Rattus norvegicus: one gene and its partners. The protein of the gene in region 3 purifies or fractionates together with the protein of the main gene of each other region. This does not show direct contact. Links are inferred from orthologs where the notes say so. Each region holds a gene or a part of one and is shown on either strand. Other genes may lie near its edges.

Region 1 (4,294 bases), on a different chromosome or scaffold from region 3:
AGGAAAGCCTGACAGCAGAGGGCAAATGAATCCCAGGCCAGAGGCAGGGGAACAAAACCTGCCTTTCTCTGGACAGAACACATGACCAGCAAATAGCCTGGACCTACCCAGAGGCAGCTCGGTTCCCCAGCAAAAGTGCATCAGACGAGCTCACTTGCACACAGTTTAAAAGTGTCAGAGTGCAGAGCTCTGAGGGAACGGCGAGCCTCCCCAATGAGCTGCTGGGTGGAGAGTCTGGGGTGCTCATTAGTCTGATGAGCAACAAAGAGCCAAGCCTTTGGGGGGGCTATCGTACTTAAACTGTGGTGCCTCCAATGAAACCTGGGAAGACAGAAATAACCTCAAGGACCTAAGGGAGGAAACATGGGCTCAAACACTAAGCACAGATGGTGGTGGGGATAAGTGAGCACTGAAATCCGAAGGGCAGCATCACCAGGCAAAGTAAACAACAACCCAGACCCCAGAGCAACAAAGGTTTCCACTTGATACCAGAGAAGCTGTGAGAGTAGGCACAAAGGACCATTGTCTTTGTAGGCAGGGAACACAGCACCCCCAACCCCCTTCCGGAAGCTCCCAGCAGGAGTGGTGAACACCAGTCAGGTTTCCTGCTGACCACACAGCACTGCTCCTTCCCAACAGCTCCCACCCTGAGCACCAACCACCATGGACCCTGAACTCACATCCTCCAGGAGCCGTCCTTCTACCCGGAGCTCCCAGGAAGCCACAGTCCCTTCCCCGTCCTCGGCATCCGACTTAGCCGGATTGAATGTGTTAGAAATGAAAATCCGCAGCTTCCGTTTTTGCTGAGGAAGGCAGAAACAGGATTGACCGTGGGGCTTCAAGAGCACAAGGTTCCCTAAAGCTCCCAGGTCACTCCTACCAGGCTGGCTTTGTAGATGGATAAGGACTCCACTGAGGAGCAAACAGGCCCTGACTTGGGCCTGAGTAAATGTGCCAGGGTGCCAGGGAGACAAAGTCGTGCAAAGTGGCAGGTTCCCAAGGTAGCGAGGAGCAAAAACAAGGACAGGGTGTGTTTCTGCTGAAGAGAGTGGGAAGCCCCCCCTCTCCTTGCCAGCCGCCCCACTCCTATGCTCCTGATGTAATTCCTGGTTTGCAGGCAGAAGGGAAAGATGCAGTTTAAATGCCAAAGAGAGATGTGCTGTGCCTTTGGGTTTTCTTCCTAAGCTTGGTGGAGCGTCCTGGCTCCCTCCTGTGACCCTCTGGTACTCTCCTGGTACCTTGATGGGCCGCTTCAAGGCCTCCTGGATATCCAGGCGTTTCCTCATAATAGTCTGGTCCAGTTTCCTTTCAAAAGCCAGGAGATCCATGTAGGCCTGTGATTCCGGTACCAATTCCCGAATCTTAGGAACAGAAAGATAGGGTCAGGCCCTAGAGCTGACCACCTCTATTCTCAAAGCCACTACCCCTTCAGGAAGGCCTCTACAGCTGCTGCACTCACCCTCTGAGGTAGGATTTTGTCAGCCATCTTCTTTTTCTTTGCACTGTTCAGAATAAATACTGTTATCAGGTTGGGATAGGAACTAGTCAAAACATGAGCATCGCTGTGAGCACCTCCATTTATGGTACAGCTACTACGGCCTACGGGATGACTCTCCATCTCCCAGTACCACAAAAACTCCACTTCATCACGAGGCCAGAGAGCCTTCAAAAGGGTGAGTCCCTGCAGCACCATTTGATACTGCAGCGCCTGACTTCCTGGGGACTCCCAGCATCAGCATCCTCACAGGCCTCCTCCCATCCCCGTCTTTCCTTCACCCCAGGGGGCATCTTACTTGTGATTTCGATTTTGGACCGCCTGCTGCTGGACCTGCTGGATCTGTTGAGGTGCAGGTCTCTTGCGGGATTGGTCCATCCCTGACTGGGCCAGGCCAGGTCGGACTGAAGGGTTCCCCCCATAGCCAGGAGGTCCCATGGAAGGTCCCTGAGGTGTCATTCGGCTGCCTGGCAGCATACCTGGTCTCTACAGAAGGGAGAGGACCAAGAGATGTCATATTTTTCCATGCTAGCCCCACCAAGGAAGGAAAAGTGGTGGAAGGCTGGATTTCAGGGATGGGGTAGGGCTGGGGGGTGGGTAGAGTGGAGGACAAGACAATCCTTTGCTTCTTTGAAATATGGTAACTGGAGCTTCTTCAGGCCTACTAGTGATTTAATGGAATATAGTCTAAAAACTAGATTATACTTGAATTTTCTGATCTATGCTGGATCTGACTCATCAGACATTTCTAGTCCTACTTTTTTCTTTTTTTAAACTAGCTGCTGTCTCCTCTAAGGCTGACCTCAATTTGCTGCAATAGCTTGGGTGTTCCTGGAGACACTGGGGCTGCCCATTCCCCTCTGCATCCCATGCCCATCCCAGGGCCCACTTCACCCACCCTGGTTCCACACTCGCTCCTCACACGGAAACAATGCCGCTGGGAGCAGGTAAGGATGCTAACCTCCTTCCCCCCACTCTTCCTCCGCTCAGTTTCCCCCACCTCCACTCCCGGCCCGAGCCCCTCCCTAGGGAGTCCCTCCCACTTCTCCCTCACCCCTGTCAGTCCTCCGCCCTCGCTCGGCCCCGCCCCCGGCCCGCGCGCCCCTCCTCCTGTCCCACTCACCGGATAGGCCGCCCCGGGCATCGGAGAGCGGTACAGCCCTTGACCCGGCGCCGGGCCCATTCGCACGGGAGGCCCGGGAGTTCCGCCCGGGCCCAGAGCAGCCGCCACGCCCGCTCCTCCTGAGGCTCCCGCGCCGCCGCTCGGAGCCACGGACTGGAAACCCGCCCGGGCCGCCATCTTCCCGGAGCCGCCGCTGCAGCTGCACAAAGAACCGGAACCGGAACTCCCCCCGCCCCCCGCGCGCCCCCCGAGCGCCTGGGCTGTTTGTGGGCCCGGCCCGCCGGCGGGCACGGGCGGCTCGGGGCAGCGAGACTACGGGCTAGAGGGGGCGACTAGCGGGAAAGGCGTGCTGACCACTCCCTCCCGCCTTCACGGGCCAGGAGGGAGCACCATAGAGAGGCGGTGTGCTGATAAAGAAGTGCCGGGAGCGAGCGCCCCCGGGCGGTTGGAGGACGTCAAGGCCTTGCAAAGAGCCCAGCCCACCCCGCAGGCGGCTGGAGTGATGCTTCACCTCGGCCCAGTGCGTTTACCTCTCCAAAGCATTCTGGTTGGTTTGCTTTTTGTTTTCCTACGGATCAGACTCCGGATGCTAAAGAGGGAAACAGGCTGTTTGTTCGTTTTACAAACGGAAAAGCTGAACTCAAAGGAGGTGAATGTCGTGGCAAAGACAAATCGAGATAAGAGAAAAGCCATCCTGGATTCGGGTCTCCTGGCTGGTAGCCAGGGCCTCATCTTATAAATAATGGCTTAAGGGGTTGGGGATTTAGCTCAGTGGTAGAGCGCTTGCCTAGGAAGCGCAAGGCCCTGGGTTCGGTCCCCAGCTCCAAAAAAAAAAAAAAAAAATAAATAAATAAATAAATAAATAAATAAATAATGGCTTAACAGCTCCCCGGCACGGGAACTTAGCCCTTCACCTCAGACCTTTAACTTCAGATTTTAATGAATTCTTTTACCTTGAATCTTCTCCAAAGAGACCCGGATATCTGTTGCTTTAGATTACTTTGCTGGTCCACTGCCTAGGGAACAGAGGATTCCTGAATTTGTTCTTTTCCAGGTGGATCAGTGTTTTTACCTGATCAAGTATGTAGGGTCTCGAATAGCCTGGTCTAGCGTTAAACTCACTGTGTGATGGAAAACAGCTGCTCCATCTCCTATGCGCTGGAATTAGAGGTGGAACCACCACACCAGACTACCACCCAAATTTCTTTAGTTGTGTGGCCCTCAAGGCAAGCTCCGATCTAAAGGTTAACACCCAGAGTGCAGGGTGCTGGCAGCTCATACCTTTAATCCTAGCGTTTGGGAGGTAGGAGGATCTCTGTGAGTTCGAGGCCAGCCTGGTTTACAGAGCTGTTCCAGGACAGCCGAGGCTACACAGAGAAACCCTGTCTCAACACAAAACAAACAACAAACAGAAAACCAACACTGAAGAGATGGTTGAAACCCAGTTTATTAGACCAGAGGCATGCGTCACCCAGAGCCCCTTCTGCTGCCCCCCAGTCAGTGTCCATTTCCCTGCTTTGCCCTGCTTCCTTCTGGGGGAGTTCTGTTCTCTAAACAACTCTTGGGAACCAAAAGGTTTCAAAGATTCTATAGCCTCACTCTCTGGCTCCAGGCCAACCCACACAGGTGATCTGCCCATAAGTCCTGTTTTGGAATTAGAGACCAAGAGACAGTGG
Region 2 (4,252 bases), about 140 Mb from region 3:
GTGAGAGGGGAGCCAATCAGATGGCAGATTAGATGTCAACTCAGAGGCAGCTGTCTGGAGACTATTACAGCCAGTTTACCTCCACAATTCAAATTCCAAACCTTGCAAAGGAGAGATCAAGTCAGTCTTTAGGCTCAGCCTACTAGCAAGAAACAGCCAGAGCAAAAGGCACTTCCTAACAACGCTGTAGGACTTGGGCAACAGCAAAATCAAGAAAATCCACACAAATACGATCCAGAACGATCCATTTTCACTGGCCTACTACCTAGTTACGAGGTTTGCTGAATAAAAAAAAAAAAAAGAAAGAAAGAAAGAAAGAAAGAAAGAAAGAAAGAAAGGAAGGAAGGAAGGAAGGAAGGAAGGAAGGAAGGAAAAGTCTAACCCATGATCAAAATAAGTTCCATCGATCCGGAATCTATTCCTTCAACATCGCCTCCCGGTTGAAGGTGACTCCTTCCAAGGAGCCCTTAGCCCCATAATGGATCTCTCCCTGGCTATTCTTAGGAAACGAATCGATGTTATTTTACAATTTTTCGCCGCCTCCTCGTTGTAAATCTGGGTCTTATTCCTGCTGGTAAACATCCAAACTCCACCAGCCACGGCTGTCACAAAGCTAACCTCGTTTTCCCCCCCGCCCCTGCCTCGCAAGGGGAATGGGAAACCGACCGGGGCCCGGAGAAAGTTCCTCTCTCCCCGCGCCCACTCGGGGCACACCGTGGGCGCCGGCGGAGCCAGGCCCGGCCCTGGGGCCCGCTACCCCGAGAGCCCTCCCCGGGCGGGCGCGGCCTGGGGCACCGAGGTCCCGTCCCGGGCCTGGCGCGGGCACGCAGCACGCCGAGAGGGCGCGGGGCAGCCCGGCTACCCGGCCCCGCCAGCTCCGGCACCGGCCCGGCGGCGCCGCGCCCCCGCCACCCCCGCCAACCGCCGGGAAAAGTACCCGGCGAAGAAAGAAAGTCGGGCTCGCGGCGCGAGGCCCGGGCGGAAGCAGGCCCGGCCGGGCGCGGGGGTTACCTGGGATCTGCCCATGGTCGGTCCAGGGGTGCCGGGGCTCATCGCCGGGTGATTCCTTTGTTGCGCGGCCGCCCAGGCCGGGCTGGCAGCGGCGTACTGGGCGCCTAGGTCCTTGCCCAAGCCCATGCCCGCGGCCGCCTGCTGGCCACCCGCCGCCGCCCCCGCCGCCGCCGCCGCCTGGGACTGGGGCTGCGACGGCGGCGGCGGCGCGCTGGAGCTGCTGTAGTCGGGGTAGCTACCGCCGTAGCTCCGCATCATGGGGCTGGGCGAGGTGAGCAGCTGGTTGAGGGTCGGCGTGGCCCCCGACGGGTGCTGGTTCTGGCCGGCGAAGCGCTGGAAGCCCCCCGCCGCCGCCGCCGCACCGGCGGCCGCCTTGCTGAGGCTCGCGGCCCCGCCGCCCCCGGGGCCCATCATCATGCCGCCGCCCTGCTGCCGCGGGGAGCTCAGCACCCCGTACCCCGAGGACGAGCCCCCATAGCCGCCGCCACCGCCTCCTCCTGCTGCTGCTGCTGCCGCCGCCGCGGCCGCCGCCGCCACAGCTCCGGCTCCTGCTGCCGCTGCCGCTGCCGCTGCTCCTCCTGCTCCTCCTGCTCCTCCTCCTCCTCCACCTCCTCCGCTGCCTCCTCCTCCTCCTCCTCCGCCGCCGCCGCCGCCCGCGCCGGGCCGGCTGTAGCCCGGATAATGGTTGTACTGGCTGTTGGGGTACCCTTCGTGGGAGTTCTGCAGGGGGTCCATGCTGCTGGGGGCCCCGGCGGCGGCAGAGGCGGAGTGCATCATCCCCATCCCGGGGCTTTGTTGTCCGCCATGTTGATCAAAGCAAGGCCCAGCGCGGCCGCCGGGGCCGCCGCTAGCAGAGGCAGCGCTGCCATAGTAATTATTAAACTCCGAGACGGCCGCCGGGCCGCCGCCGCCGCCCCCGGGCACGGCGACCGGCGCGGGCTGTTGCTGCGCGCCCAGGCCTGGGTGCTCATAGCGGCTGCCCGCCGGCTCCCCCATCTTGGGCGGCGCGTCGTCCTCGTCGCCCGGCTTGCTCAGCAGAGGCTGGCCCTGCGGGTCAGCCTGACTGCCCGCGGCACTGTCCTTGGCGCCTCCATGTTGCGGCTGCTCCATGTCCGGGCCGGGCTGAGGCGCGCCGCCGCCCGCACCGCCCAGGCTGTTGTTGGCAGTGGGATGCTGCTGCTGCTGCGGCGGCGGCGGCGGCGGCTGCTGCTGTGGCTGCGGCGGCTGCTGGAACTGGTTTAGCTGCTGCTGTAGTGCGTGGTGGTGGTGGTGGAGGTGGTGGGCATGGTGGTGATGGTGGTGGTGGGCATGGTGGTGGTGGTGCTGCTGATGGGGCGGTGCAGCGGGGGCCTCGCCAACGGCTTTCAGTTTGTGGTTGGGGAGCAGCCCGGTCTCCATGGCCGAGCCGGGGCCCGCCGAGGAGGAAGAGGCCGCGACGGCGGCGGAGGAGGACAGCGCGGCGGCGCTTCCACCCTCCTTGAGAGCCGCCTCGGAGCCGCCGCTCTGCGCGCTGTTGGAGCTGGCGGCCGCCGCGGCGCTCGCGCTATGGGCCATGTTCAGGTCGTGACGGGGGTGCAGGGGGTGGTGGTGCACATTATTCAGGCCGCCGTCGCCGCCCCCCAGTATGGGGCCCGGAGCCGCCGCCGCCACCGCGCCGCGCGCGCCCGTCTCCAGGTCCCGGGCCCCGGGCGCCGGCCGCGGCCCCGAGGGCGCCCGCCTCTCGCAGCTGCCCGCCCGTGCCCGCGCCGCCGCTGCTGACCGCGCGGCCATGATCGCCGCGGCGTGGCGCGGCCGGGTGGGGTGGGGGGAGACAATGTCCCCACTCGCAGCCGGCCGCCCCTCCTGCGCGCATCCACGCGGCCCGCGGGGAAGCGCGGCGCCCTCCCCCCCCGCAGCCCCGGGCCGCCCGCCGGGGGCGCGCCTTTGCGCTCGGGGGCTCGCGCCCGCTACCGCCTGGACCGGCGGAAAGTTTTTTAGTTCCGCTTGCAATGAAACTTTTCTCTCTCCCTCTCTCACACACTCTCTCTCTCTCGCTCGCTCTTTTTTTCCCCTCTCTAGCCCGGATATGGGGGGGAAATGCACGACTTGCCTGAGCCTAATCGGGCCCAGCGCGGCGTGAGGGAGCCGAGCGAGCCGGAGCAACTATTATCCGCTTCTCTCCGAGGGCTGCTGCGCACTTGCAAAACGCGGACTGGACTCGGCCCCCGGCGCCGCCGCCGAGCGCACGCTCGCCCGCCAGCTCGCCCCGCTCGCTCCGCACTGCCTCGCCCGGCCTGGCGCGGGGGACCCGGCCTGGGGGAGCGGAAGGGGGGGACCGGCTGCCGGCGCTCGGGGCCTGAAGCTGTTCAGTCCCCTCGTGCCTCCGGTCTCCCTGCCAACCCGCGGCCCTGTGTTTGTTTTCACGTCTAAAGGGAGCGCTACGAAGGTGGAAAACGAGTCTGACGAGCAGACAAAAGAGAGAGAAGGGGCTGGGAAGCAAAGTTGTCTATTGGGCCTCAGAGGTGGTGAGGAGCCGATGGAGAAGGGAAACATTTAGGCAGGCCGGGCAAAAGCACTCAGTCTCTCTCAGGAGTTATGTAATTTTTCACAACCTTGGCCTCTGCGCCTGGATTTCAGGCCATCGGCGTAATTCCCACAACTTCATCCAACTGAGAAATTAGGAAAGACTTAAGTGAAGGTTAAGCCGCAAAGACTGCTGTGCCATGTACACAGCAGGCGCTCAATAATTGCTTATGATTCACCACCCTAATCCCCAAGGTGATGTTTATATAACTCTTTTTAAAGGCACCGTAAGTAGGTATGAAAACTCCTAGCATTCCCCACGGAGTATTTTTCTTATAATGCGTTTGGGTGTCCTCTCCAGTGTTAGCTCCAGACAGCATTCAGGAGACGTTTAACTATTAGTGCAAAAACAGCGACGGCTAAGGTTTATCTTGGGTCTTCATAAATCTACACGACGCCTTTCATCATATTTCAGAGGTTAATGTGTGCAATTAACCCTCTTGATATGAGTTCATTTCTAAGTAATGGGAAACAAAACCAAATAGATGTATTTAATAAACATAAAATCAATAATAATGCAAACAGCCTAATCCCAAAGCAGAAATATGCAGTAGTTGCCCATTTTAAAAAAGGTGCCCATAGTTTTAGCAGGATAGTGTTTTACACGATATTATCATGGAGTAACCAACCTCTTGACTGCCAAACTTCTTAACCTAAGCAACGGCTCCGTTGTGCTAGG
Region 3 (4,207 bases):
AGTTGCTGAGGAAGGAAGACTCAAGTTGGATCTTGTCAGTAGGGAATGAGCCAGGAGGCAAACGGAGGTAGAGTAGAATTTAGGCAGATAGAAATATGTGCTTAGTGACCACAGACTCTCAGTCATCCGCAGAATGGAAATAGTGACAGTAACACCATGAGAGGCTGCTGTGTGGATCAAGTACACGGCACATAGTATGTGCTCAAGAAGTGCCAGCTAGCAGTTTCATTCATTCATTCATTTCTGTGGTACTAGAGATGGGGCTTAGGACCTTAGGCATGACAGACAAGCACCTGCACTGGGCTGCATGCCCTGCCCCATCATTTCATATTAGCGAAAGTATTTGGGACAACCTAGGTGTGGTCCCAAGCCCCATGTCATGGTGTTCTTGACAGGGGAACAATTTCAGTAGCAACAGTTTATAAAGGCCTCTGGTTCAAACGAAGGAATCAAAGGCCACGGGAGCCAACGAAGGACACAAAGCAGGAAAATGGCCGATTGGAATCTGCTCTAAGAAAGCTGTAGCATGTGGAGGCGAGAGCCAGTGCAAGTGAGAAGTGAGAAGGGAGCGCCAAAGGCACGGGAGTCAGCCATGCCTGGGAAGGGGGGGTGGACTACAGGAAGGCCGAGGAGCTGGCGCACTGGCTCTGCAAGTCTGGGCATCTTTCTCTGGATGTTGGGCTCCTCGTGTATAAATAGGAATCATCATAGGATCATTGGTTCCATAAAATGTCAGTGAGGGTTAAATGAGAAAACAAACCACAAAACATTGAAGTGCTCAGAAGAATGACTAACAGATAAGTGGTTCTGTCAGCTGTTAATCTACGGTTACTAATCCCTAGGGTTATCAGAATTATTTAGTTGCCGAACATCTATTATGCGTCCCACATGAACCAGATCAGTGTGTCTGACATGAGATGGTAACAGAGAGGCAATAAGCAAGCAAAAAGTACATTTACATAAAGTTTTCAGATGGCGACACGCTCCCTACAAATCCAAGATGCCAAGGAATGAGCCAGGCACAGCCAGAGGTAATTTCTGCCAGGGTCAGGAAAGGTTCCCTGAGGGAGGCAGGACGGGGGAGGGGGGGGGGGACACAACACAATATAGAAACACATACAAGGCGGTAGGTTCAACTCTGGTGAGGAGAGGACTCCCAAGAGCCACATGGTCCTACCTCTCTCTTGGCCCAGTTGTGGGGGCTGAGTATCTTCTGTAATCACCTCTGGAGGTCCAGTTGGTGATCCAGGGCGACTGGGCTGGGGCGTCCCCCCAGGGCTGGGCTCCGTGCCCTTTTGCAGTGAACCTTCGGAATGGAAACTCTGATTGCTGTTCTCATCTGCTGAAGCAAAAGTCAAGTTAGTTGGCCAGAGGACCCCAGTGGCTTCTTTCAGCACCCAGCCCCCCCACCCCTATTCCAGAATCTCTACATACCATTGAGATCCAGCAGGATGAGGGGGCCACCCCCTCTGGGACTGGTGCCCCTACCACGCCTCTCCCGGCCACGAGATCTCTCTGCCCCTCCTCCTGCCCGCCGCCTCTCCTGAGGGTTAGAGAAGTAAGATCAGAGCTAGTTTGTCCAGGGAGCTCTTACAAAGTCCTTCAATTCAAATAAGGAAACCTAGGCTCAGAGAAGCAAAAGGTGCTGCCTCAGGTTGTGTAGGCCGAGTTAGGTCTTGAACTTGGAGAAAGTGTGTGTGTGTGTGTGTGTGTGTTTGTGTGTGCGCGCGCGCGCGCGCGCGCGCTTCCGTGCTCATGCCCCCTAATAATCGTTACCATCTGCCTGGGCTCCACAGTGGAGTCTCCAAGCCGACTGAAGGTGGAGGCCAAGGGGAGGGAAATTGCTTGAGGTTGCACAGATGCAAGGCATGTTGGGGGTTGGGCTTGCTCACCTCCTCCTGGGGATCCACCACAGGCACCCACTTGAAGATTCGAAGGGAAGTGTCACCCACAGTCACCCAGCGCTTCTCCCTGTGGGAGGTCAGGAGACTGGGTCAGGGAGGCCCAAGGGTGAGCCCCACAGACTGGAGGTCAGGGAGGTGTGCTAGGGTACGGACAGCTTCGTTTACACGGCATAGAAGCAGAAAGAGCCCTCTAAACCCCAGGGCAAAGCATAAACGGATATAACTTGGAGCTGCGGTTTTGCAGACACCTGGGGCACTCAGCAGGGCGCCACCAAGGCCTGCCCAGGCACTCAGGCAATGAAGACCCCGGGCCAAGCTTGCGAGAGTGTCAAAAGCTTCAGGGGGCGGGGCATAGATGAGGGCTCCCGCTCAGGGAAAGCACCACTCCGGACCACGCTTTGTAGACCTCTGGGAATTGCCAAGGAAAGGGGGCGCCCTGTCGATTTAGATCACAGCTGGTGGGCGGGGGCAGCGGGCCAGGAAAGGGCGGACGCGTTTGGAGGAGGTGGCTTGGCTGTATCCCTGACCCGGGGGCAGCGCTCACCATCTCCGGACCTTCTCGATGGTCGCCATCACCTTTTTGATGTCATCTTTGGCCCGGCTCCGGGTCTCGGCCCGCACGGTCCGGCCGGCCATGCTGGCGGGGCTAGGGCCGGGACAGAGCCCGTGGTGGGGCGGCCTGCGGTCCGGCGATCTCAGGCTGCGCGCCAGGCCCCGGCGCCGCTCTTTCGGCCTGCCGTCCCTCCGGGAGTTGGCCGCGCCCTCCCTCGCTCCCCAACGCCTCCGCGCGTCCCCGCCTGGCTTCCTGAGACCGCGCCCCGCCCCGGCCCGTCCCCGGAGCGGCCCGGGCGGCGCGGGCGGCTAGAGCCCCGGCCTGGAAGCCCGGCCAGCTCCGCCCCGGCCCGGGCCCGCCCCTCGGGGCGCACGGACGCACAGCGCCCTCTGCCCGCCGCGGAGAGGGAGAGCTGGGGGGCAGCGGTGCGGCTGGACGCGCGCGGCCCGAACGAGGCGGTGCGTTCCGGCCACGTGGGCACAGGGGTGCGCGAGAGGGACTGTCCTGGTGTGCGTCCGCGGCGGGTGGGCGTCCCTGAAATGCTCTGTGTGCGCGCGTCTGCCCTCTCCAGGCTGTTTGATTCTAAGCTGCCCAACTTAACTTGTTCATTCATTCATTCATTCATTCATTCATTCATTCATTCATTCATACATTCATTCATTCATTCATTCATTCATTGAACAGTTCCATTAACAGCGCCTAGTACAAGCCAGACTCTGCGAGTGGAGAGCCGGCCTCCTCAATCAGAATGGCGGGAGTGAAAAAGACCATGTAGATGAAGTAGCAGAGGAGCAACTTGCCATTCCTTGAATCAGGGTGTGTAATTGGTAGAGATAGTTTGGAAAACTGGCAGTCTTCCATTGAAAAACTTATGCCAACCCCGTCTTCCAACAGTTTCCACTCCCAAACTAGCAACACTCAACAGAAGGAATATGTGCTGCCTCTTTTTTGTCAACTCGTCACAAGCTAGGGTTATCTGGAATGAGGGAACCTTGATGGAGAAAACGCCTCCATCATGTTGCCCTGCAGGTAAGTCTATGGGGCATTTTCTTTTTTTTTTTTTTTTTTTTCTTTTTTTTCTTTTTTTCGGAGCTGGGGACTGAACCCAGGGCCTTGCGCTCGCTAGGCAAGCGCTCTACCACTGAGCTAAATCCCCAACCCCGGGCATTTTCTTGATAATAGTTGTTGTGGGAGAGCCAGACCACTGTAGGCAGTGCCACCTCCGGGCACTTTAAGAAAGCAGACTGAACAAGCCTTGGGGAGCAAGTGAGTAAGCAAAGTTCGTCCAAGGTTTTGCTTCAGTTCTGGCCTCCTTCAGTTCCTGCTTTAAGTTCCTGCCCTGACTTCATAACAGACTATAACTGCAAGCTGAAATAGATGCGGTGTTTATCACAGCAATAGAAACCTCACTAGGACGAAATGTGTCTGTATGAACACCAAGATATGTATACTGGGAAGTTCGGTACTCTTCATAATAGCACCAACCTGGGAGCCACTCAACAGAATGGAATGGAAAACCAGTTACAACCTGTTTATACCATGAGCACAGACAAAACAACCAGAAAAACCAAAGTCCTGCTATGTGCAATGGTGGGGATGGGTCTGCAACAAAAGAAGCCAGATGTGACAACATGCATTAGATAATTCTACATCTAAGTTCAGAACACAAGTACATTCATGGTGTTTTCCGGGAGCTTGTCACACTTGTCTTTAGTCTGTCAAGATGGACATTTATTACTTGTAATTTTTC
Region 4 (3,500 bases), on a different chromosome or scaffold from region 3:
TATGGATCTCAACCTCTGGGCTGCCTGCCTTTCTCCCGGCTGTGCCACCTGTGTCTGACTCAGCACTTCTGAGCTCATCTTCTGGCAGGTTCTAGGCTCCTGTTGACACCTGACTGCGTGTCACTCACCGCTTCTCGCTCCCGGTCCATTATCGTCTCCAGTTCCTCAAAATGTCGGAGTTTGATCTCTAGTTTCTTCATCTGGGTCTCCACCAACAGAGCCACCAAAGACTTGATCTTCCTCTCCTCGACAGCTGCCAAGTGCTATGTAAGAAGTAGCGGTCGTCTCAGTCAGTCGGGCGGGCATTAGCCAGAGCGCCCAGCTGCAGAAACTCCGGGAAGGTGGGGAAGGAAGGGGCAGGGCAGATGCTGCAGAGGCTGGCAGGTTCAAAAAGGAAGTAGCTGCAATCACAACTAAGAATAGTATAACTGTAATTTATACATGTACTATATATTATAATACACAGTAATAAATATTATACATTATATAGTATATATTATAATATATAAGTATATAATATATTCACGATCTAGATATATCTGTATTATGAAACAACACATACATACACACATATATGTATATATATATATATATTGTATCTTTATCATGAAAAAAGAGATAAGACAAGTAAAAGAAATTAAAGGGTTGGAAATAGCTACTAAGAGAGTTAAGAAGTTTGGTGATAGCTCACTGGATTAAATAAGAAAGGAACGGGCTGGAAAGATGGCTCAGTGGTTAAGGGCACTGACTGCTCTTCCAGAGGTCCTGAGTTCAGTTCCCAGCAACCACATGGTGGCTCACAACCATCTGTAATGGGATCTGATGCCCTCTTCTGGTGTGTCTGAAGACAGCTACACTGTACTCATATATAATAAATGAATAAATCTTTAAAAAAAAATAAGAAAGGAACGAACAGGCCAGCACTATTTAAGGAGTGAGAAGAGAATGGCTGGCACAGGATGAGGAAAGTGTGCAGCTTCCGAGGGCTGCGCTCACCTTGGCCTTGACTGCAGCAGCAGCCAGGGCAGCGGCCGCAGCTGTGGACAGGTTGCCTTCACCAATGTCGCGCTCCACCTTGGCTTTCCTCTCCCCCTCTGGCTCTGCAACTTCCTTCAGCCCTTCCTCCTGCCCTTCCGTCGGCTCCTTGTCTTTCTCTGGATCGACTGTGTCAGGACAAAGGTGAAATTACCCTTTTCCCTTGTCTCTCCTGTGCCCCTCGCCCTCTGGGGAGGCCGCTCACCTATTGGGTCCCCGTCACTCTTCTCTGACTCCTTCTCACTGTCCGCTTCTTTCCCTTTCTCTTCATCTTTCTTGGGAGCTTCACTTATTTCCTCCTTTGCTTCTTCCTCTACAGCACCTCCTCCTTCCCGAGGTTCCTGCAGTTCCAAAAGGAAAGAAGACATCAGAGGATGCAGCTCTCACAGGAGGCCCAGACTGGAGGCTGACTGGCCCTCTTGTCCTTATCTGTCTCTGTGTGTGCACATGCCAAAGCCAGAGCAGAACAAAATGTTGGGTATTTTATTGCCTTGAGACAGGTCAGCCTCCAACAACTGGGTCCCACAACGATGAGGTCGCAGCACATAAAATGATGCCAAAGCTTCTGTGTGGGTCCTAGGGGTTCTGGGTCAATTTTCAGGCTGTAGAACAACACTTATCCAGTGCTGTGACCCATCTCTTCAGCCCTTACACAGGGTGCCCTAGCTCCAGGACAATCTGTCACTGGATCCAGCCCCACTGGGATTGCCTCTTCAGCCCCAGGTCACTCCCTCTATACCTTTGGCTCCTTCTTCTCATCCGCTGCCTGGCTCTCCGCCCGTGCCTCCTCAGTCCCGCTTTCCTCTGGGCCCATGGAGGAAGGAAAGAAAGGAGAGATGTGTGATAATTTTCGTTTATGTAACAATTTCCCAGTAGCTGAAACCTCGGTGACAGAGACAGGAAAAGTCAACTTTCCCACAGTGATACCATGAAGGAAAACAAAACGCCACGGGCTTTCTCTCCCACTTGTGCGGTGACTGATGTAGACGTGGGCAGGAACAGGGTGGGGAGGGTACAGCGAGCAGCGAGGCCGGCTGACTCTGCTCTTGGAGATGGGAAGAAATCTAAGAGTGCGTGCTCACCAATGCGCTCAGGCTCGTCAGAGGCCGTCCCTGCAATGCCGCTACTCTCCAGACCGAAAGCTGGGTCTGCCTTGCCTGTGACTTTGGCTGCTTCTTCTACCTTGCGCACATGGGCTTCCACCAAGGCTGTGGGCACCTCTTCCTTCATTTTTGAGAACTCTTCTGTGAGACCAGAGGGGAAGAGGCTGGGATGAGGCAGGTAGGCTGTTCTGACTGACCTTTCTCATAAGCCCATCTCTTTCTCTGAGACCAAAATCAAGCTCAGAAGGTGCCTGAGCTAAGGCAGCCTCAGACGAAGCCAGCAGGGTAGAGCTGAGAGGTTTTAATCGGAGTATCTAGCTGTAAAAGCAAAGGAAGAAGGCCAACCCCCCATCCCCAAATTACCTAGGGCTGACTTTGCAGCAGCAGAGGCAACTCGGGGATCGACGACAGAGGCCAGGAAGGCAACAGTGCTCATAACAGGGTTGCCTGACTGACTGAAGGGGATGGGCTGGTAGGCCAGAGGGCCTAGAGAGGCCTCTGAGTCCTCCAGGTATGGGTCTTCAATGGGAAGGCGAAGGAAATGCAAGATGCACTCATCCTGCGTGCGGCTTCCCACATGCTCAGACACTTTGTTCCAGTCGTCCTTGTACATTTCCAGAGCCTGGTGGTAGTGGTGGAGACAGAACTCCGCTTACTTAGCCACTTTTCTAGAAGGTCAACTCCCTCCATCCGACTAAGGGCAGTTGTTTTCAAAGCTCTTTATGTTCTGGTATTTCTGTACTCTGCTGGATCCAGGGGGTGGGGGTGGGGGGTCTCCAAGTAGCACAAAGAAAGGATATGGAATTACAGACAGGCCTAAATCCCTGACCTGGAGCTATTCCTGGGGCAGCTATGACAGGCACCAAGAAGGGGAGACTGAGGCAAGCTCATGTTCCACTCAGTGCCAAACTATGAGTGCTCCCAACTAAGTGCTCCCCACTGCCATGGCAGCTGGGTCCCAGCCCCTGCGTCCTTACAGCATTCCCCTTGCTTTCCCCAATTACCTCCAAGAGCAGCAATGTCTCCTGCTCTGTCCATTCCCGAGTGGCACTAGCTGCAGCTTTGCTCTGTGGGGAAGCAGAGTAAGTCAGCACAGAGGAGTCTAAGCTGTGTGAGAGAAAGCTATCAACCCCAGGTTGGCTGCACCCTGTACCTTGGAGGGGATGTTCTTCTTGGTGTACATGTCTGTGCGCAGCCCAAAGTTCTGCATGTCTGCTGGCTTCTCCTTGCCCTTATCAGGGAAGTTCAGCATCTGCTGGGAAGCAGAGCCCTGCTATTTGTGGAAGGAAAAAAAGGAGGTGAATGCAAGTGGTCACAGGGAGCCAGAGTCAGGAGAGAGAGAGAGAGAGAGAGAGAGAGAGA
Region 5 (3,500 bases), on a different chromosome or scaffold from region 3:
TTACCCAGCATGCTGGGTGTGTGGATGAGCACCCTCTTTAATGGAAGTGGCTATCTTGGACCCCTTGCAGCTTCAGTTAAAGTTAAATGCCTTTACTTGGCCACTAAGGGCCAGAAGAGTAATCTGTCCATCTGTACATAGAACGCTAACTCAGAAGCCTGGCTGTCTGTGTGTAATGTGTACTCATGAGTGATGTTATGGGTGGCATTCTCATACTCATACTGGATTTTAAAATAATAAGGCTTTTATAATACACTCATTAAATTTTGCTCTAAGAGCGCTTAGTTTAATTTGCTCCTAAGAACAAATTTAGGTAATTGATAAATTGGATAAGCCGATTAGGAGCATGAACAGCTCTTCTGGAGGACCACAGTTCAGTTCCCAGCACCCGCGTCAGGCAGTTCCCAACTCCCTGTAAGTCCAGCTGCAGAGAATGGCACCCACTCCTGGCATCTGCAGGCACTACACTCACGTGTACAAAACTACAGGCTTGCTACACACATTTAAAAAAAAGAAGACTGGGTGTAACTGTAAGGCATTTAACTTTTTAGAAAAGAACCTGGGTGTGGTGGCACACACCTTTAATCCCCATGCTTGAGGCAGAAGAAGGAAGATCTTTGTGAGTTTTAAGGCCAACTTGAAATGCATAGCAAGTTCTAGGACAGCTAGTGCTATGTGGATACCATGTCTAAAAAAAAATACCAACAAACAAAAAAGGAAGTTAAAAGGAAAGGGGAAAAAAAACCCAAAAAACCAAACACACACAAAGGGAAATCATATATTTTTTTTTTGGTTCTTTTTTTCGGAGCTGGGGACTGAACCCAGGGTCTTGTGCTTCCTAGGCAAGCGCTCTACCACTGAGCTAAATCCCCAACCCCCCGAAAATCATATATTTTATCAGGTTAGAGTGTGTTACAATTTGTATAAGCTTGCCCCAGGGAGTGGCACTATTAGAAGGTGTGGCCTTGTTGGGGTAGGTGTGTCACTGGATATGGGTTTTAAGACCCACATCCTATCTGCATGGACGCAGTATTCTGCTAGCAGCCTTCAGAAGATGTAGAACTCTCATCTCAGCTTCTCCTGTACTATGCCTGCCTGGAAGCTGACATATTCTCTCCTTGATAATAATGGACTGAATCTCTGAACCTGTAGGCCAGCTCCAATTGAATGCTGTCTTTCTAAGAATTGCCTCGGTCATGGTGTCTGTTCACAGCAGTAAACCCTAACTAAGACAGACATTGGTACTGGGAGTGGGGTGCTGCTGTGACAGGCCTGATCATGATTTTTATTTAGATGAATGTGGACTTTGGGACTTTGGATCTGGAAAGCACTGGAACGCTTTAAGTGGGGCTTAATGAGGCACCTAGTAGGAATATGGAAGACACTGGTGCTGAGTTGGATTTGAACTTACAGACCTGGCCCAAGAGGGTTCAGTGGAAAAGAATTTCAATATGAGGCCTAGAGACTATTTTTGTGGTATTTTGGTGAAGAATGCGGCTTGGCTGCCTTTTGCCCTTGTCTGAAGTCTGCCGGAGTCTAAGGTAAAGAGAAATTAATTACATGACAAAGGAAGTCTCAAAAAAGCCCAATAGAGACTTTGTTCTCAGGTTACGTCTCATGAAGAGGGTTTTGAACAAGTGTAGCGAGCTTAGAGAGGAAAAATATAAAATACATGGTTCAAGTATTAAAGGGGCACCGGGAAGTGACATGGAGCTGAATCCCGTCTTAGGAGGTAACAGATTAAGGATTTGGTATCATCCCATCCAGCTAAGTTTAGATCCAGGCATGGTGGTTTACACCTTTAATCTCAGAAGACAAAGCCAAACAGATCTCTGAGTTCAAGGCTAGCCTGGGACAAAGCAGGTTCTAGGTGAAGAAAAGCTTAGATCCAGGCATGCTGGCACAGGCCTTTAATCCCATCCAGCATTACAGGAGACAGAGCCCTGCAGATGTCTGCCTTCGAGGTCAATCTACAGAGCAAGCCAGTAAGCAGCACTCCTCCATGGCCTCTGCATCAGCTCCTGCTTCCAAGTTCCTGCCCTCTGTGAGTTCCAGCCCTGACTTCCTTTGGTGATGAACAGCAATGTGGAAGTGTAAGCTGAATAAACCCTTTCCTCCCCAACTTGCTTTTTGGTCATGATGTTTGTGTATGAATAGAAACCCTGACTAAGGCAAGGAGTGTCAGCAAAAACTTAACCCAGAATTTGGAAGCTGAGATTGGAGAATCAGGTAAATCTGGACAACACAGTGAGACCCTGTCTTGAAAAAAATCAAACAAATCCTTTATTCTAAGTATAAAGACTTTGAAAAGTAAAAGTACAGCTTTTTTTCCCTTAACAACTTTCCACTCTGTAAGGAGTATTTTTTACCATGGGAAAGTCATACACAAAAATCTTATTATTGAAAAGACAAAATTATGCTTTCCCATTTAAAAAAATAAAAGCCTTGAACTAAGATTTCTTCCCTAATTCAGAGAGAGCACACGCAACGCCCCACTTTCCACCTTACCGTCTGGGTCCTCCGCAGGCTGAATGCTCATGTAAGGCTCTCCTTTCTCCATGCGCGACTGTCTCTGTCGACTTTCTTCCTCTAATGCAGCTTCCGCACGACTTTTTGCATTAATATATGCAAGGTATGCAGGGGAATTGTGATAGGCCTTCATAGATTCATTGTACTCTATCTGAAATTCAAAGGGTTGGTTTTTAATGTACATTCCACTCTCCAGGTCACCGTGGGCAGCTGCATTGTTCATCTGAATCAGAGGGCAAAGGTGAACAGACGGGGGGGGGGGGGGGGGGGCCCTCTGTGACAGTCATCTCTCCTTCTGAACAGAGAATGTGCCACTCAGGTGAGTGGGGCTTGGTGGACAAAACTTTAGTGCTGCCTCAGGTGTCTGGTCATGCTTTGCTTCTTCTATAAATAATGAGTGAAGGTGGTCCTCCTACCTTTTCTGCTTCGTACTCGTTTAAATATTCTTGTTTCTCTTCATCAGTGAGATCTCGCCACATGCCACCAATAATCTTGCCAATCTCCCACAACTTTAGGTCAGGGTTGGAAGCCTTTACTTGGTCCCAGACCTTAAAAAGTTAATAGTTGAAAATTCAGTATTAGTGACTAAAGTATATAGTCATTTAAAAATACTCTAATATGGGAACGTTTAAATACAAACAAAAGCAAAGACGACAATATCAAACTCATCTGTAGCCATCAGTCTGCTTCAAAACTGCCAACTTATGATGTCATTTTATCTTTACCTCACTGGATCTCATCACCACTGTCATTTCCTCATCAGTACTTCAAACTGATTAAGCTAAGAACACCATTAACCACTGTTCACACTTATATTGAATTAACTGAACAATTAACTCTATGTCTCTAGCTGTTAAGTGAATTTAGACGTAGTTAATTTGTACCATACTATCAAACACATATGTAATAATTATGATCAATATTTTTACTATACTTATTAATTATTTTGTATTCTTGGAATTGAACCTAAG
Region 6 (4,135 bases), on a different chromosome or scaffold from region 3:
AACAGAGTCTCAGCCTCTCGGCCAGCCTGCCCCACCACAGAGTACGAGGCCTGCTTAAGTCCCCAGGACTCCGGAATGCAGTAACTTCCACTTGGTCAAGCACCAAGCCCACCCTCTAGGCTAAATTTTATAACCACCAAGAAGATAAGGGAAGTAGGCTAGACCTCATCCTGCCAGCTCTGGGCTAAGAATCTAGGGCTCAAGTAAGCATGTTCTGCTCTCCAGAAAAGTCTGTAGCCGGGATCCTGCTAAGAGCTGCTTGAACCTCAGAGCCTCATTTGGAGGCCAGACCCTGGCCCTATGAACAGAGGGTACTTTAAACTCTGAGCTGAGTGAAGCCGGCAATAATGCACACTAGGCTTTCTGTTTTGGTTTTGATCGTGGTACTTTAAACCCTTCAGGCTGATTGTTCTCCAAAACTAGAAAAACCCTCTAGAGGTAAATGAGCTATCAATTTATGTCAGCAGCCTTCCCATGCCCAGCCTGAGCACACACATCCTTGCCCTTCCTGCTCACCCCCAAGAGCTCTAACCAGGAGGAGCCCCTTTGTCCTCAGACCCCAAGCCTTTCTGGAAGATGGACACCTGGAAGGGATGGGAAAAAGCAAGCAGGGTCTCCTTCAAACTCAACCCATGTTAATGGGGTTCTCCTTCCTCCTTTCCCTGTCCTTCAGAGGAGGAAGAGGAGGAGGGGAGGAAGACAAAGAGGAGGAGGAAGAGGTAACAAGATGCCAGACTCAAGGCCATCTCCTTTCTCACAACTAGTAGCCACAGCTATCCAGCTGGCCAGCCTGGCCTCAGCATAGGCCCAAGGTCACTCTCTACAAAGCATGCAGGAATCCATCTTCCCGTCTTCACAGGAACTTTCCCAAGGGTACTTCTCTGTCAGCTGCATGCCAAGGGGACTGGTCTACATAATTAGTTGCAGGACAGCCAGGGCTCAGAAAACTAACCAAACCAGATATCCCCAGTGTCTGTAGGAAGCTACCAGATCAGTTCTAAGCAAGCAAGACCAAGGGCTGGAATAACTGATGTCAGTACTCATCGGTGAGACACAAGGTCCATTAATCTCCAAAGAAAGCAACATGGGAAAGATAAACCCCAGAGAGTATCCTTGGGACCAAGTCTATCCCTGTTCATACCCAAACTCGTCATTTTCTTTTGAGATAGAAAGAGAAGCGAAGTGGGTCACTTATCCCAACCCTCAGTTAGGTATCTCCTCAGGAATCTGACTCCTGGGTATAATATGCATGCTCCATGAAGATCTATTTCTGAGACGTCTACCTGAGACACCAGCAGAGGACAGAGTAAGCTACACCTTCGGACCTTCGTGACTGCAGTCCCAGCACTTGAGAGGCAGAAAGAGTTCAAGGCCAGCTTTGGCTACACAGCCTAGACTATATGGGACCCTGTATCAAAAAGCAAGGACCAAAAGTGACAAGGATGTGGGAAAGGATGGACACAGTCCCAGGCACTCTGGGAAAGGTGCAGTTCACTGATAGCAATGATCTGCCTCGTGCAAAGCCTGCCCGGGGTTCCACCCGGTGCAGGCTCAGCACCGAAAGGAAAAGCAAAATGAAACTCCCAAATATCCCGGAGCAACTTGAACCAGAGCCCTGGGGTATGAGGAGGAGCCCCACATACAGAGTCCCGCTGGGTGAGTTCCCAGTGCACTGACCACAGGATCTTGTCTCTGCTTGTCAACGACCTTTGACGCAGCAACCTGAGACTGCTCTCTTCCCAGACAGAAGGGTCTTGAAGTACCCTATGCAACCCAAGACCAGCAGGACTCCACAAAGCCTCCCTGCTCCTCCAAACTTAACTACTGGACACTGACATCAGGAAGAATGCCCAGTACAGAGGATATCTAGATGGGTCTGTTAATGCGATCGGGCTTTCTTCAGACCTGGCCATCGCTATCTCTAATCTATCCTGGGAGTATCTGGGCTCCCTCCCTTTGGTCTCCCATTTCGTAGGAAGCCAGGCTTCAACTTGAGCAGCTGGGAGCCATCACAGATATACTAACTCTCTGCCAGTTCCCAACTAGGAAAAAAAACAAAAAACAAAACAGCCAAGGCAGAGATGCAGTGGGACCGACTCCAAAGAAAGAGTAGCCCTGTTTTCTCACTAACGACCCTCTTCCAAAATTTCCTCACCACATCCCGGGTCACTCCCTCACCTCTACTCCGGGACCTGCCTTACACTTTTCAACCTGATTGCCCACAATTCTCTAAATCCCACGAAGCCTCCATCTCTAAGTTACTCAATGCCAAGAACTCCCGGGACTCTTCTAACTGCTTAAGTCCTCCACCGCAAAGGGCTTTCACCCTTTCCCCAACATTGCCTCCAACCCCTAGCCACTAACCAAAGGACTCTGGCCTGCCTGCCACCAGCCCTCGACAGTTCCTCCTGCAGTGTCCCCTGGGCGGCCCGTCCTCACCTGAGGCCCCTGGGAGACCAACCCAGCGCCCTCGAGGCGCCGCCCGCCTGCCTTCCTCACCTGGTACTGCGCCGCGGGGCCCGCGGGGCCCATGGGGCGGAAGGCAGCGGCCCCCGGTACCCCCATGCCTCCAGAAGGCCCCGGGCCCCTGAGCGCCGGGTTGGGCAGCATTCCGGGTCCCGCAGGCGGAGGCGGCGCACCGAGGGCCGCGGCAACGGCGCCGCCGCCGGGGCTCAGCGGGGGCAGCGGGAACCCGCCCGCGCCACGGCCCGACATCACTCTGTCCCGTCCCGCGGTGCAGCGATCCGGCCTCTCGTCTCCGTGTTGAGTCCGCTCCGCGAGCTCTGTTCCGCGATCCGGGACTTTCCGATTTTATTACCGGGTTCCGGGATCTTCTATTCCAAGTTCGCAAGTTCTTCCCAGCCCAGCTTTAGGATCCGCAGCCCCTCTGACTCCGCTCCTGCCAGGGATACTCCAGATCCAGGATGTGCTGCAAGCCCGCAGGCCTCTCCCGGCCTCCGGAGGTTTGATCGCGGGAGTCCAGTTACCCAGAGGCGGTTACGAACTCCCAGCCCCGCCCAACCCAGGCCTCGGCAGGCCCCGCCCCTGCCCGGCAGCCCAATCGAGAGTGCGTCTTTAAATCCCGCCCTCGCGAGACCCGCCTCAAACAAGCACCGCCCATAACTGACGGCCTCAGAGCCCCGCCCTCTGGGACCGCCTTTTCCCGGAGGAGCGGGAGCGGAAGCTGCACGCGGAAGCGCTGAGAGAGGCGCGGGGTCAGAGTTCGAAGGTCACGTAGGGCCGTCACCATGGTTAGGTGTTTGCCGCTTACTCCGGAGGACTACTGTCTCAGCGAAATGTCCGACATAGCCCTCCAAAACAGTCAATTCCGCGTCTCCAGGCCTTAAAAATAAGCGATCCGGGGCTGGGGATTTAGCTCAGTGGTAGAGCGCTTACCTAGGAAGCGCAAGGCCCTGGGTTCGGTCCCCAGCTCCGAAAAAAAGAACCAAAAAAAAAAAAAAAAAAAATAAGCGATCCGCGGCGGAATGGCCGCCAAAAACTTTTTAAGAGCCTATCTCAGGGCCTGAGGAGCCAGGCCAGTAGTACAAGGCGTTCACCTTCCAGGACCCCACACCCACCCACCCATATTGATTGCTGAGCGCTTCCAAGGACATGGGCGACCCCAGATATGACCTAGCTGGGTTAAAGCTTGACTTGGTCCAGCTCAGAGTACTTACCGCACTAACTTTTCTGTGCCTTTAAGGAAGCCTGGTAATTTACTCCGCAGAAAATGTTTTTAGGTGAAGGGATTTCGCATGCTGAGAGAACTCCAGGTAGTGAAATAAGTTTTATCCAGTTTGTATAGGACCTAGTTTTTGAAAAGTTGAGAACCTTTTCAGAAACTCCTGGCTTCAGCTATGTTATAGACCTACCCCTCTGCTAATGTGGTACCTCCTCACTCACGGTATACAATCAGTGCTACTTAACTTCACTAGGCACTGAAAATCCTCAGAATCGGGTTGGGGGATGTAGCTCAGGTTATAGAGTGCTTGCCTAGCATACACAAAACCCCGGGCTTGAACCCCAGACTGCATAAACTGTCTGGTGGTACACGCCAAAAATCCCAGCACACAGGAGGAGGCAGGTGGGCCAGAAGTTCAGGGTCGTTCTCAGCTACACCTCCAGCCGATTCTAC
Region 7 (4,300 bases), on a different chromosome or scaffold from region 3:
AGTCCTCACCAGCATAGCCAGCCCTCACTGTATATGATCCAATGTCAAAAACAAGAGCGCCAACTTCATCTGAAGAGATTAAAAGAGAATTACAGAAGTGATTAAAAGAGAACTACAGATGTCTTTAATCCCAGTAAGGGAGGCAGAGGCAGACAGATCTATGAGTTCCAGGCCAGACTGGTCTACAGAGCTAATTCTGGAACTACACAGAGAAACTCTTGTCTCAACAAAGTAAAGAACATATTTTATGTATATAAAATGAGAATATTTAAAACTTTGTAAAACTCCATTACATAACACATAATTAGCTAGAATCTAGTTTTTACGATTGTTGTTTTGATATAATCAACCTCTATGTGATCTTACTTGTCGCAAAGTTCCTGTCTCTGACTCTTAAGTGGGATTAAAAGTATGCACCACAATGTCTGGCTTGAACCTAGTATTAAATATACCTTCAAGATTTATTTAATTAAAATATGGTGAGTCATACACTGTTCATCAGCGGAGGTTTAGTCAGGAAAGATATGGTACACTGACAGCAGGTAGTAGTTCCTTACTAAAGGGACTAGTTATAAACATCTATCATCCAGGTACAGAAGGATGAACAAAGGGACATGTCCTCATAATCCTTGAACTGAGAAAACAAGAAACTGCTAACAGAACCTAGGATTTTTGTGGGGATGGCTGTTGGGAGCTGTGGTAACAGCTGAAATGAGGCAGAGAGCTAGAACTGCCTATCAGGGAGGAAGGACCAAGCTCACAGCCTCCAGCCTTCAGGAAACTATAAGCCAGCATCCAAACTGGGACATCAGAGCTTAGAATGTAATTTATACAGGCCAAGTAAAAAGCATTTAATGAAGGTACTATTTAACTCACACATTCCAGACATTAGGGGATAGTTTAGTGATGAGAAAAAAAGCTGGCAATTTTTTTCAGTCTAATTCAGAGAAAAGCCTCCATTTATATTTTCCAAGTACTTCACCCCAAACAGCAGGCCTCCTAGGATAAAGTGCTAGTTTGTCAATGGGTCCCCTCCCAAAAAATTTAAAACACTAATCCTACTTACCTACATTACTCAACCTTAAGAAAAGTTCTATTCTCCAGTTAAAGCTACAAATCACCACAGCCACTCTATGCAGTTTAGTGCTAGCTACAAAGAGGCACCCAAAGAGAAACACAGAGCTATTTAGTTTAGACATACCCAGTTTAAGAGAAATTCATATTTTAAAAGGAGATGCATGTGCAACTGTTTGAATGAAAATGTCTCCTAGACTCTGATATCTAAACATCTGGGCCCCAGTTTAGTGCAATCTGTGGATATTTAGAAGATGAGGGCCTGATGTAGGAAGCTGTCACTGGGGACAGGCTTTGAGTTTAAAGCCCCCACCATTTTCAGTTTGCTCTCAGCTTCATGCTTGAGGTTGGATATGTGAGCCTAGACTCCTGCTCCTGCCACCATGCCTGCTGCTAGATGCCATGCCTCCCTCATACTGGACTCTTATCCCTCTGGAATCATAAGCTAAAGTAAACTCTTCCTTCTAGAAGTTGCCTTGGTCATTTTTGTTTTGTTTTTTAATCACGGCAACAGACAAGGGACAAATACACTATGTGAAATGTGTAATTTACTAACCTCTTTGCCCCAGTTTGGTCAGTAAAGAGTATTTAATACTTATCTCATTGGATACTATGACTAAATGTCTTCAATGTTTTAATGTATACTTAAAATAGTGCTGGTAAGCAATAAGCCCGATAAATATTAGCTAATAGTAGTAGTTACTCTTGTCACACTTCTTGCTAGGGAAATGACTACAGTTAGAGAAACTGCTACAGTTCGTTCTTACAAAACAGTACACAGCAGTTAAAATGTGTGGGCACAGATCTACTGACTCGATACATTTATAAATTTATAGTGTGAGTATACTATTTAACTCATTAGGGGTGCATGTTACAGGTACACGGCCGAGAAAGGAATGCCTTTGCCTCAATCCAGAAGCTATTTGCTCCCAATTTGCAAAGAAAGTCTTTTAACTTTGAGCTGGTTGTTTAACTCTTCCCAATGCTTTCTTCTTCGTTAACGTGCAGGATAGCAGCACCATCTCCTGTCGGCATCCACCCTAGCGAGGAGTCTCTAACTAGTTAACTACTTTTAAAATAAAACAAAACCAGTGCTTGAAAGCCTTGATTTCGTTATCGCCAATTTATAAAAAGACTCCTGGCCAGTTGGCCAGGGGAACAGCAGCCTGTACCTCAACGCTCCGCTCATCTAGGGACCAGGCACACCTGGAACGATGTCCAGTCGGAAGCCGCAACACCGGGCGCGACTCAGAACCAGTGCCCACCCGGAGGGCCCGGAACCTCCGCGAGCTTCCCGAGACTAACCCGCGGCGGAACCGGTACAGCGAGGGACCCGGAGTGCCAGGTGACTGCCAACAGAGTCCAGCCCGTCCTGGAGCTCCAGGTGTAAGACACGCCAAGGCCCTTCCTTGAGGCCATCTCGGAACCAGCAACAGTACAAGCCGGAAACCTACTGAGCGCGGGCCCTGGGTCCGAAGAGAAGGAGAGGCCATGGCCCAAACGGGGACCGGAAGCACCGGCCAAAGACCGGAAGGGCCCGCCGAGGACCGGAGGGAAACGGAAGAGACCAGGGACCGGGCCGGTCGTTCCGGCCCGCACGCCCCGAGGCGCCTCTGCGCTCACTCACCTCCGCCGTACACGCCGCCGCTCATAGCTACTGTTGGGCGGGGACTGGCCGAAGACTACTGGGCGAAAGATAACAGCGGCGCGACTCGACTCCCCAAGAATGCCGACCCCGTAAGCCTGCAACTTCCAACGCCGCCCCCTCCGGCAACAAAGCAGCGGCCGCACGCCCGCTGCACAGCCACTCTTGCTGGTTTCTCTTGTCAGCCAATGACAAGAGGCCCGGCTTAGTCTTTAGCCAATCAGAATGTGGTGCTGCTGTATCCCTGCGCGGTTTAGCCGTCTTGACCAATGGAAGGCAGCCATGGGGAGAAGCGACGGAAGAAGGGAAGGTGTTGGGGAACGGGCAGGAGGGGGCGGAGCTTCGCGGGCGGGTGAGAAGTGGGTGGGGCTTCTACACGCAGACGGGATTGTGGGAGGGGCTGCTTCGCAAGAGGGTGCGAACTGTGCTTCGCGCGCAAATGGAGTGGGAGGAGTTTTTAGGTGGGCGGGCGAGTGGGAGGAGCTTTGTGCGGGAGTGGACCGGGTTTCTAAAGTGAGTTAATTAGGTACTGGGAAGGGGCTTGCCTTGGGCCATCAACCGCTCTTGCTTCTGAAGTGTGGCCGCTCCCCAGGAGCCATGGGAACTTAGGCAGAGAAAGGAGAGTATCTGCAAGGAATCTGGAATTTGAGTTAGTTACCTCGAAGAGATTCCTGGTCTGGGATTGTGATGGATTTGGATTTTTTTTTTAAGCAGAAAAAACTTCAACTAACATTTATACTTGAAAAAGAAATGTGTACTACACTTTGAAGTAATCGGCAAATCAGATATAATAATCGGATTCATCATTTTTTAAAATGGCTATTATAATAAGAGATCATATGTTTTCCCAGCTAGATTCAGATAGCATTTAAAAATCATTACTTTGGTTTCTTTCATTTCTGTGAAAATCATTCACCAAGCAAGTGGAGCACCATTCAGAGAAACACCCGTTTGTAAATATATCCCCAATCTGTGTCTACTGTTCTTAGACTATGTTTCTATCAGTGTCCAGAACACTGTCCCCAAAACAATAAGTGCAACAATTTGTCCCTCTGCTTCTCTGGGCTTTAGTTAGCTTGATCTACATAACAAAAGGTCCAAAACTCAAGTATAATGTAGCTCTCTCTGTAACTGGTAGCAGTGCTTAAATTGAAGTGTCTAGTGCAAGCGTTACTAGCAACCTTAGAAGGGTTGAATAAAATTTCATCCATTTCCATGCCATCCAGGTGGCAGAAATTGACCTGTCATAGGGTCAGGAATAATGCAAGTAAGAAACCGCTTTCCTGTTCACTTGACACTGTGCTTTGAGCTCACAATGATGGTTCAGGTTTGGGTTTTTTGAGACAAGGTCTCATGGTATAGGCCAGGCTAGTCTCCAAGCTGTAATCCTCCTGCCTCTGCCTCCTGAGTACTGGAGTTATAGGCACGTGCCACCTTGGGTATTAGTACATTTTGAATGATTCAAAGATGTTTTTAAGAATGCTATGATACTCCCGTGTCAGAAACATTAAGCTGCTTTATTGGAGCATAGCCAGGCTTATTTGCCACTGTGACTGAAGCTATGTGCCTGGTTGAGCTGTA

Evidence for each region.
Region 1: the proteins of Bcl7c (region 3) and Smarcd1 purify together in Homo sapiens (affinity purification with mass spectrometry; 5 studies listed by BioGRID and IntAct, counting the BioPlex papers as one, with this or other methods). This does not show direct contact. The link is inferred for Rattus norvegicus from reciprocal best matches to the Homo sapiens genes BCL7C and SMARCD1.
Region 2: the proteins of Bcl7c (region 3) and Arid1b purify together in Homo sapiens (affinity purification with mass spectrometry; 4 studies listed by BioGRID and IntAct, counting the BioPlex papers as one, with this or other methods). This does not show direct contact. The link is inferred for Rattus norvegicus from reciprocal best matches to the Homo sapiens genes BCL7C and ARID1B.
Region 4: the proteins of Bcl7c (region 3) and Smarcc2 purify together in Homo sapiens (affinity purification with mass spectrometry; 4 studies listed by BioGRID and IntAct, counting the BioPlex papers as one, with this or other methods). This does not show direct contact. The link is inferred for Rattus norvegicus from reciprocal best matches to the Homo sapiens genes BCL7C and SMARCC2.
Region 5: the proteins of Bcl7c (region 3) and Smarce1 purify together in Homo sapiens (affinity purification with mass spectrometry; 5 studies listed by BioGRID and IntAct, counting the BioPlex papers as one, with this or other methods). This does not show direct contact. The link is inferred for Rattus norvegicus from reciprocal best matches to the Homo sapiens genes BCL7C and SMARCE1.
Region 6: the proteins of Bcl7c (region 3) and Smarcd2 purify together in Homo sapiens (affinity purification with mass spectrometry; 3 studies listed by BioGRID and IntAct, counting the BioPlex papers as one, with this or other methods). This does not show direct contact. The link is inferred for Rattus norvegicus from reciprocal best matches to the Homo sapiens genes BCL7C and SMARCD2.
Region 7: the proteins of Bcl7c (region 3) and Actl6a purify together in Homo sapiens (affinity purification with mass spectrometry; 3 studies listed by BioGRID and IntAct, counting the BioPlex papers as one, with this or other methods). This does not show direct contact. The link is inferred for Rattus norvegicus from reciprocal best matches to the Homo sapiens genes BCL7C and ACTL6A.

The regions. Positions count from the first base shown.
Region 1 is NC_086025.1:132,707,133-132,711,426, reverse strand, and holds the start of Smarcd1 (SWI/SNF-related matrix-associated actin-dependent regulator of chromatin subfamily D member 1), read right to left. Parts: upstream 2,801-4,294; 5' UTR 2,796-2,800; coding exon 2,619-2,795; intron 2,569-2,618; exon of another isoform or gene 2,394-2,568; intron 1,982-2,393; coding exon 1,794-1,981; intron 1,503-1,793; coding exon 1,460-1,502; intron 1,362-1,459; coding exon 1,239-1,361; intron 804-1,238; coding exon 681-803; intron 1-680. UniProt on the Homo sapiens protein: Involved in transcriptional activation and repression of select genes by chromatin remodeling (alteration of DNA-nucleosome topology).
Region 2 is NC_086019.1:47,972,545-47,976,796, reverse strand, and holds the start of Arid1b (AT-rich interactive domain-containing protein 1B), read right to left. Parts: upstream 2,801-4,252; 5' UTR 2,782-2,800; coding exon 1,012-2,781; intron 1-1,011. UniProt on the Homo sapiens protein: Involved in transcriptional activation and repression of select genes by chromatin remodeling (alteration of DNA-nucleosome topology).
Region 3 is NC_086019.1:191,751,842-191,756,048, forward strand, and holds the start of Bcl7c (B-cell CLL/lymphoma 7 protein family member C), read right to left. Parts: upstream 2,801-4,207; 5' UTR 2,541-2,800; coding exon 2,449-2,540; intron 1,972-2,448; coding exon 1,893-1,971; intron 1,544-1,892; coding exon 1,435-1,543; intron 1,343-1,434; coding exon of another isoform or gene 1,340-1,342; coding exon 1,178-1,339; intron 1-1,177. UniProt on the Homo sapiens protein: May play an anti-apoptotic role.
Region 4 is NC_086025.1:1,487,003-1,490,502, reverse strand, and holds part of Smarcc2 (SWI/SNF related, matrix associated, actin dependent regulator of chromatin, subfamily c, member 2), read right to left. Parts: intron 3,412-3,500; coding exon 3,292-3,411; intron 3,206-3,291; coding exon 3,143-3,205; intron 2,761-3,142; coding exon 2,502-2,760; intron 2,280-2,501; coding exon 2,118-2,279; intron 1,840-2,117; coding exon 1,775-1,839; intron 1,377-1,774; coding exon 1,241-1,376; intron 1,164-1,240; coding exon 997-1,163; intron 264-996; coding exon 129-263; intron 1-128. UniProt on the Homo sapiens protein: Involved in transcriptional activation and repression of select genes by chromatin remodeling (alteration of DNA-nucleosome topology).
Region 5 is NC_086028.1:84,662,674-84,666,173, forward strand, and holds part of Smarce1 (SWI/SNF-related matrix-associated actin-dependent regulator of chromatin subfamily E member 1), read right to left. Parts: intron 3,078-3,500; coding exon 2,946-3,077; intron 2,681-2,945; coding exon 2,509-2,680; intron 1-2,508. UniProt on the Homo sapiens protein: Involved in transcriptional activation and repression of select genes by chromatin remodeling (alteration of DNA-nucleosome topology).
Region 6 is NC_086028.1:91,699,609-91,703,743, forward strand, and holds the start of Smarcd2 (SWI/SNF-related matrix-associated actin-dependent regulator of chromatin subfamily D member 2), read right to left. Parts: upstream 2,801-4,135; 5' UTR 2,716-2,800; coding exon 2,500-2,715; intron 1-2,499. UniProt on the Homo sapiens protein: Involved in transcriptional activation and repression of select genes by chromatin remodeling (alteration of DNA-nucleosome topology).
Region 7 is NC_086020.1:117,419,231-117,423,530, reverse strand, and holds the start of Actl6a (actin-like protein 6A), read right to left. Parts: upstream 2,801-4,300; 5' UTR 2,727-2,800; coding exon 2,702-2,726; exon of another isoform or gene 2,529-2,701; intron 2,371-2,528; exon of another isoform or gene 2,247-2,370; intron 70-2,246; coding exon 1-69.